2 linked regions of the Oryctolagus cuniculus genome follow. The protein of the gene in region 1 purifies or fractionates together with the protein of each later gene. This does not show direct contact. Links are inferred from orthologs where the notes say so. Each region holds a gene or a part of one and is shown in the gene's direction. Other genes may lie near its edges.

Region 1 (3,803 bases):
TTGTGCAGGCCCACCTGGCAAGGCCGCTGTGGGTGCCCTCAGGCATAGCCACGTTTGTGTGAGCAGACATGCTGGGGCAGCCCGACAGCTCCCATGCAGAACCCACCGTCAACATAGCCCTGAACCCCAGCCACAGAAGCCCTGGTCAAGCCGTGTAGACTACCCCCTGATCTCTTGTCAGAGGGATTGAGCAGTTCTTACAGAGATCCTGCCAGAGTCCTGCTGGGTTTCTAGGTTGTTGGCAGTGACATAGGTCAGGTGCCTTTTATAGGTAGGTCACCAGGCAGGAAGGGAAAGAGGCAGAGGATGCAAATGTTGGCTGTGTCCCCAAGGGTGGTACCTGTTAATTTAAGAGCTCCAGGCCTGCCGTTAGGTGACAGTGAGCACTGAGTCCTGCTGCAGCACCCTGAGCCCCCTCAGCTTACCTGCTTTCCAGGGATTAGGGCCCTGTTCTTCCTGCCTGGACTTGCTGGTTAGCCTCCGAGAGCTAGTTTTCATGCAGTGAGTATGTGTGGCTCATTCATTTCTTCTTTTGTAGCCCTGCTTTTGAAAATCAAGTAATTTCTGTAATATTCTTAAAAAGATACAGCAGACACAAAGCCAGCTGGGCAGAAGGCAGCAGTGTTTCTAGGCAAGGCCCCCCAGTGTGCCCTGTGCCCCTCTGAAACGCAAGTCTGTAGAGAGTGCTGGGCTCCCTTAGGCGCTGTTCTGAGGTTGAACTTGTGAGTCTTGGGAACTTCTGGGTGACTTCTGCTGATGTGACTTTGAATCCAAGCCACCAGAGAGGGACCCTCTGGGAAGCAGCCATGCTAGACCTCCCTGGCACAAGCAGGAAGGGTACTGTGTGCCTTTTGGGATTTTTTTACTTTTTGCCATTCATTCTTTTGTTTTAAAGGCAAGACTGCTGATAAATGCCTTTTAGAGAAACAACTAGGACAGTGGACTAGGACTGAGCACAGGGTAGAATGCTAGTGATGATGGCATAATCTTGAGCTAATCACCTGGTTATGTCTAAACACCACCTCGGTCAAGAGAGGACAGCCAGTACACGTGCCGAGGCTGAGCCCGGGAAGGCTGCTCTGGAGCCCCGGATGCTGCTGGCACTGGCCAGAGCTGACCCCACCTCAGGCAGGCGCGGCAGGAGCGGGTGCGGTGTGCACCTGACTCGCAGTGACAGTGAGTGCCGAGAAACCCGGGAGGCACAGCTTTCCGGTTGGGAGGCATGGCGCACTGCCTGAGGTCACCGTAGAGAGGTGCCAGGCCCAGAGCAGTAAGCCACTGATTCAGAGAGGAGGTGCAGCCCAGCTCTGGGACAGTGTCTGGCACGAGCAGGCACCTACTGCCAGAAGGCCGACTTCCTCTGTGAAGTCAGGTCAGAGGCTGAGCCAAGTGCGGTTCAGGCACACGCTGTCCAGAGCCTGGTGCCCTCCCGGCGTGGCTGACCGCAGGGTAGATGTGGCATGCCTGGACGGACTCCTCCCGGCTCACTGAGAAGCAGACTCGTTTTCTTGGTGGAGAGCCGACTTTCAGACTTCTCTGTTGTGATAACTTGTTCTCCTTTGTCTTCACAGAGACTAATAGACAAGTCACGAGTAACCTGTGTCAAGTGGGTCCCCGGCTCGGAAAGCCTTTTCCTAGTGGCTCATTCGAGTGGGAACATGTACTTGTATAACGTGGAGCACACTTGTGGCACCACTGGCCCTCACTACCAGCTCCTGAAGCAGGGAGAGAGCTTTGCCGTGCACACTTGCAAGAGCAAATCCACGAGGAACCCTCTCCTTAAGTGGACGGTGGGCGAGGGGGCCCTCAATGAGTTTGCTTTCTCCCCAGATGGCAAGTTCTTAGCGTGCGTGAGCCAGGACGGGTTCCTGCGGGTATTCAACTTTGACTCGGTGGAGCTGCACGGTACGATGAAAAGCTACTTTGGGGGCTTGCTGTGTGTGTGCTGGAGCCCGGACGGCAAGTACATTGTGACGGGTGGAGAGGACGACTTGGTGACAGTCTGGTCTTTTGTAGACTGCCGAGTAATAGCTAGAGGCCATGGGCACAAGTCCTGGGTCAGTGTGGTGGCCTTTGACCCCTATACCACTAGTGTGGAAGAAAGTGACCCTATGGAGTTCAGTGGCAGTGACGAGGACTTCCAAGACCTTCTCCATTTTGGCAGAGATCGAGCAAATAGTACACAGTCCCGGCTGTCCAAACGGAACTCTACAGACAGCCGCCCCGTAAGTGTCACATACCGGTTTGGTTCAGTGGGCCAGGACACACAGCTGTGCTTGTGGGACCTCACAGAAGACATCCTTTTCCCTCACCAACCCCTTTCGCGAGCAAGGACACACACGAATGTCATGAATGCCACAAGTCCTCCTGCTGGAAGCAATGGGAACAGTGTCACCACGCCCGGAAACTCCATGCCCCCTCCTCTGCCGCGGTCCAACAGCCTTCCCCACTCAGCAGTCTCCAATGCTGGCAGCAAAAGCAGCGTCATGGATGGCGCCATTGCTTCTGGGGTCAGCAAGTTTGCGACACTCTCACTACACGACCGGAAGGAGAGGCACCACGAGAAAGATCACAAGCGAAACCATAGCATGGGACACATTTCTAGCAAGAGTAGTGACAAACTGAATCTAGTTACTAAAACAAAAACAGACCCTGCTAAAACTCTGGGAACGCCCCTGTGTCCTCGAATGGAAGACGTCCCTTTGTTAGAGCCACTGATCTGTAAAAAGATAGCGCATGAAAGACTGACGGTATTGATTTTCCTTGAAGACTGTATAGTCACTGCTTGTCAGGAGGGATTTGTTTGCACGTGGGGAAGGCCTGGGAAAGTGGTAAGTTTTAATCCTTAATGCTGCACCGGATCTAGACTTGAATAGGTAGTAACTGTTTTTTCTCGAGGGGGGGTGGGGTGTACAATGAATGTGAATGACACTTCTGATTCTTGATGTAAATCCAAATGCATCAGAGCCATAATTTTGGATACTGCATGCCATGTAATTCCGAATCATTTGATAATTCACCTGAGAGCATTTAAAAATATAATCAAGCGAGTTGCCAGCCAGGTCAGTCATCCTCTTGGGAGCGTAGAGTCCCAAGGCCAGCACTCCTGTGTCAGACTATTTCAGGTGTAGGAAAATCATGACAGTGTTGGGAAACGATGACTTTAAAATGCTACAATTAAAATCGATGCTTTAACTGGAATACTTTTGCTTAACTACTCCATTAGAGTATTGTACACCTGATCAGAGTGTGTGTTCAGTACAAGGGGCTGTTGCCATTTATAGTCCACTTTTTTATCTTAATCATAAAACTGTTTAGGAGTCTATGAAATTTAACGTTAGGGACAAAGCGTTCAGGGTTGATTGATATTATTTTTACATTGTTCTGGCAATCCACAGAAGGAGAAGAGCCTTAATTTTTAAAACCCATTTTAGTCATTTTATGACAATTAAAATTGTTTAATAAACATCTTTTTTCAAAGAAGCAGTTTGTAGAACTTTGATTGAGATTCTGTGCACTAAAGTCTTCACATGACCCAGAGTCTGGACAGAGAGTGAACTGTGGGCTGAGGTCGCCAACAGCTGTTGTCAGAAGTGCCTCTTGCCGCATGAGCCAAGACCTTTGACCTCAGATGCACTTTACATACTTTTTTTTTTCCCCAGTGAGAGAAGAGGAGGGTTCTTTGTATTTTGCTTTGTTTGGTTTTGTTTTTGTTTGGCTCAGCAAGACATGTGACTGCAGCCTGTGGCAGCGCTGCCCGACAGGCACCTGCTTGGGTTCAGTCCCCCACAGGGGACGCGCAG
Region 2 (3,942 bases), on another chromosome or scaffold:
CGCCCACCGGCTCGCCCGCCCCCGCCCCCGCCCACCGGCTCGCCCGCCCCCCGCCCCCGCCCCCCGGCTCGCCCGCCCCCGCCCCCGCCCACCGGCTCGCCCGCCCCCGCCCCCGCCCCCCGGCTCGCCCGCCCCCGCCCCCGCCCCCCGGCTCGCCCGCCCCCGCCCCCGCCCACCGGCTCGCCCGCCCCCGCCCCCGCCCACCGGCTCGCCCCGCCCCCGCCCCCCGGCTCGCCCGCCCAGGACGTGGAGTCGGAGAACGTGAACGTGGTGAAGCGGCTCTTCAAGATCCAGAACCTCAGCGCCAGCACCATCCGCACCGTCATGGTGGCCGACTGCTCCCGCTTCGACAGCCCCGACCTGCTGCTGGACGCCGGCGGCCCGGCCGCGCCCTGCCGCGTCTTCGACCTGGGCGGCGACTCCGACCCCGACAGCGACTCGGACGGGCCGGCCCCGGCGCCCGCCCCGCCCCGGCCCAGGGGCTCGCGGCGCTTCCCGGACGGCGCGCTGGACACGCAGGCGCAGCTGTCCGAGCGCGTGCTGGAGACGCGGGTGGCCGAGCTGCTGGCCCAGGGCCACACCAAGCCCCCCGAGCTGGCCCCCGCCGACGCCAGGAACAAGTACCTCATCTTCACCACGGGCTGCCTCACCTACTCGCCGCACCAGATCGGTAGGGCAGGGCGCGCGGGGCAGGGCACCCGGGCGGGTGGGCTGGGGCCTGCAGCCCCTCACGCCGGCCCCCCGCAGGCATCAAGCAGATCCTGCCGCACCAGATGACCACGGCGGGCCCCGTGCTGGGCGAGGGCCGCGGCTCCGACGCCTTTTTCGACGCGCTGGACCACGTCATCGACGTGCACGGACACATCGTGGGCATGGGCCTGTCGCCCGACAACAGGTGCGCCCGCCCGGCGGTGGGGGGCGGGGGCGGGGGAGAGGTGGGGGCGTGTCCCGCGCTGAGCGCCCGCCCCGCCGCAGGTACCTGTACGTCAACAGCCGCGCCTGGCCCCGCGGCTCGGTGGTGGCCGACCCCATGCAGCCGCCCCCCATCGCCGAGGAGATCGACCTGCTGGTGTTCGACCTCAAGACCATGCGCGAGGTGAAGCGGGCGCTGCGCGCGCACCGCGCCTACACGCCCAACGACGAGTGCTTCTTCATCTTCCTGGACGTCAGCCGGGACTTCGTGGCCAGGTGCGGGGCGGGGCGGCACCCGGGGGCCGGCCTCTGGGGCGGGGCGTGGGGCGGGGCCGGGGCGAGGCGAGGCGGGGTCAGGGACAGGGTGGAACCTGGGGGCCGGCCTCTGTGGGGCGGGGCCGGGGCGAGGCGAGGCGGGGTCAGGGACAGGGTGGAACCTGGGGGCCGGCCTCTGTGGGGCGGGGCCGGGGGAGGCGAGGCAGGGTCGGGGACAGGGTGGAACCTGGGGGCCGGCCTCCGTGGGGCGTGGCGTGGGGCGGGGCGGGGCGGGGTCAGGGACAGGGTGGAACCTGGGGGCCGGCCTCCGTGGGGCGTGGCGTGGGGCGGGGCGGGGCGGGGTCAGGGACAGGGTGGAACCTGGGGGCCGGCCTCCGTGGGGCGGGGCCGGGGCGAGGCGAGGCGGGGTCAGGGACAGGGTGGAACCTGGGGGCCGGCCTCTGGGGCGGGGCGTGGGGCGGGGCCGGGGCGAGGCGAGGCGGGGTCAGGGACAGGGTGGAACCTGGGGGCCGGCCTCCGTGGGGCGGGGCCGGGGCGAGGCGAGGCGGGGTCAGGGACAGGGTGGAACCTGGGGGCCGGCCTCTGTGGGGCGGGGCCGGGGCGTGGCGGGGCGGGGTCAGGGACAGAGTGGAACCTGGGGGCCGGCCTGTGGGCCGGGGCGGGGCCAGGGCGAGGCGGGGTCAGGGACAGGGTGGAACCTGGGGGCCGGCCTCTGTGGGGCGGGGCCGGGGGAGGCGAGGCGGGGTCAGGGACAGGGTGGAACCGGGGGCCGGCCTCTGTGGGGCGGGGCCGGGGCGAGGCGAGGCGGGGTCAGGGGCAGAGTGGAACCTGGGGGCCGGCCTCTGTGGGGCGGGGCCGGGGGAGGCGAGGCGGGGTCAGGGACAGGGTGGAACCGGGGGCCGGCCTCTGTGGGGCGGGGCCGGGGCGAGGCGAGGCGGGGTCAGGGGCAGAGTGGAACCTGGGGGCCGGCCTCTGTGGGGCGGGGCCGGGGGAGGCGAGGCGGGGTCAGGGACAGGGTGGAACCTGGGGGCCGGCCTCCGTGGGGCGTGGCGTGGGGCGGGGCGGGGCGGGGTCAGGGACAGGGTGGAACCTGGGGGCCGGCCTCCGTGGGGCGGGGCCGGGGGAGGCGAGGCGGGGTCGGGGACAGGGTGGAACCTGGGGGCCATCCTCCGTGGCGCGGGGCTCCGGGCGGGGCCGGGGCGAGGCGGGGCTGGGTGCGGTGGGACAGGGTGGAACCTGGGGGGGCCGTGCTCCGTGGGGCGGGGCGCCGGGCGGCAGAACAGGGGCGGGCAGCAGCCTCATCCCGGTGCGGGCCCACAGCGGGGCCGAGGACCGGCACGGCTACATCTGGGACCGGCACTACAACATCTGCCTGGCCAAGCTGCGGCACGAGGACGTGGTCAACTCGGTGGTCTTCAGCCCGCGGGAGCAGGAGCTGCTGCTGACCGCCAGCGACGACGCCACCATCAAGGCCTGGCGCTCGCCGCGCACCGTGCGCCTCCTGCAGGCCCCGCGCCTGCGCCCCCGCCCCTTCTTCTCCTGGTTCGGCTGCCACAGGCGCTGAGGGCCGACCTGGCTCGAGCCGCGGGGACACTGCCGGGGCCCCGTGGGTGCTCCCCGCGTGGGGTGGCTTTGCTTGTAGCAGGGATCCTCAGGAGGGGCCGGCCCGGCCCCCGCACGCACTCGCACAGCCTCACGTGGCCCGCGCTGCATGCGGCGGCCCCACACTGGCCGCGGGGCCAGCACGGCGTGCACAGGACACTGGAGGCCTCACTCCTCACCCACTCCCTCCCCCGGGCTGCGGGTGCACACGGCCCCAAGCCCGGCCACTCAGGACAGTCCCCACGCCTCGGCCCAGCGGACAGGCTCCCGCCCTGGTGACTTGGTTTGTACCGGCGGTGCTGGGGGCCCAGGGGCCTGTCTGCTGGCCACTGGCCCAGGGCTCAGAATAAACAGTTGCCAACAGCCCACCGACGTCCACCTCTGTGCAGGGAGGGGCAGCCCGGGCCCTGTCCCCAGCCTCCTGCCTCCTTGGCACCCAGGAGGCCTGTGCCCGACGGCATCCGGGCAGCTCTGGTGGGACAGCTGCATTCTGGGAGATTCCTGCCGAGGGTGGGGGAGGGGCTGCCCAGCTGGAACCTGCCTGGCCTCCCTCCCTCACCGAGGGCCCCCCCTTGTGGTAGTGAGGGGGAGGGTGGGGAGGGCGCCGGGCCTCGGGGGTAAGCAGTGGACACTGTGTGCCCTGCCTGCACAGGGGACCCAGCTGTTCCCCATGGCACGGGCGCTGGTGCGGGCACCTCCATCCTGGGCCGGGCCTTGCTGGGGACAGGTCTGAGAGGGGCGGCTGGGGCTAAAACGAGGGGCTCGTGCGCTGTGCAGATGAGCCCGGGACACAGCCCAGGGGCCTCCATGGCCTGGGCGCCAGCCCCCTGCAGGTGGCCCGGGAGAGTGGCGGAGGGTGCGCCGAGTGCTCGGGCCCCTGCACCCACTGGGAGACAGGAACAAGCTGGCTGCAGGCTGTGTCCTGGCTCAGGCCTGGCCATCGTGGTCATTTGGGGAATGAACCAGTGGACAGAAGACTGACTCCCCAAACACCACGTGGTCAGGGCTGGGCCAGGCAGGCGGGAGCCAGGAGCTTCCCAGGTCTCCCGAGTGAGTGCAGGCACTCCCTCCCACTGCTCTCCCAGGCCACAGCAGAGCTGCAACGGAAGTGGCGCAGCCGGGGCTTGAGCCCCCCCAGGCCTGTGTAGCCCG

What was found.
Region 2: the proteins of WDR20 (region 1) and FBXW5 purify together in Homo sapiens (co-immunoprecipitation; 3 studies listed by BioGRID and IntAct, counting the BioPlex papers as one, with this or other methods). This does not show direct contact. The link is inferred for Oryctolagus cuniculus from reciprocal best matches to the Homo sapiens genes WDR20 and FBXW5.

Annotation. Positions count from the first base shown.
Region 1 is NC_091451.1:45,460,019-45,463,821, forward strand, and holds part of WDR20 (WD repeat-containing protein 20), read left to right. Parts: intron 1-1,571; coding exon 1,572-2,831; intron 2,832-3,803. UniProt on the Homo sapiens protein: Regulator of deubiquitinating complexes. Activates deubiquitinating activity of complexes containing USP12. Anchors at the base of the ubiquitin-contacting loop of USP12 and remotely modulates the catalytic center of the enzyme.
Region 2 is NC_091432.1:237,322,133-237,326,074, reverse strand, and holds the end of FBXW5 (F-box/WD repeat-containing protein 5), read left to right. Parts: intron 1-243; coding exon 244-670; intron 671-747; coding exon 748-895; intron 896-975; coding exon 976-1,188; intron 1,189-2,508; coding exon 2,509-2,752; 3' UTR 2,753-3,156; downstream 3,157-3,942. UniProt on the Homo sapiens protein: Substrate recognition component of both SCF (SKP1-CUL1-F-box protein) and DCX (DDB1-CUL4-X-box) E3 ubiquitin-protein ligase complexes.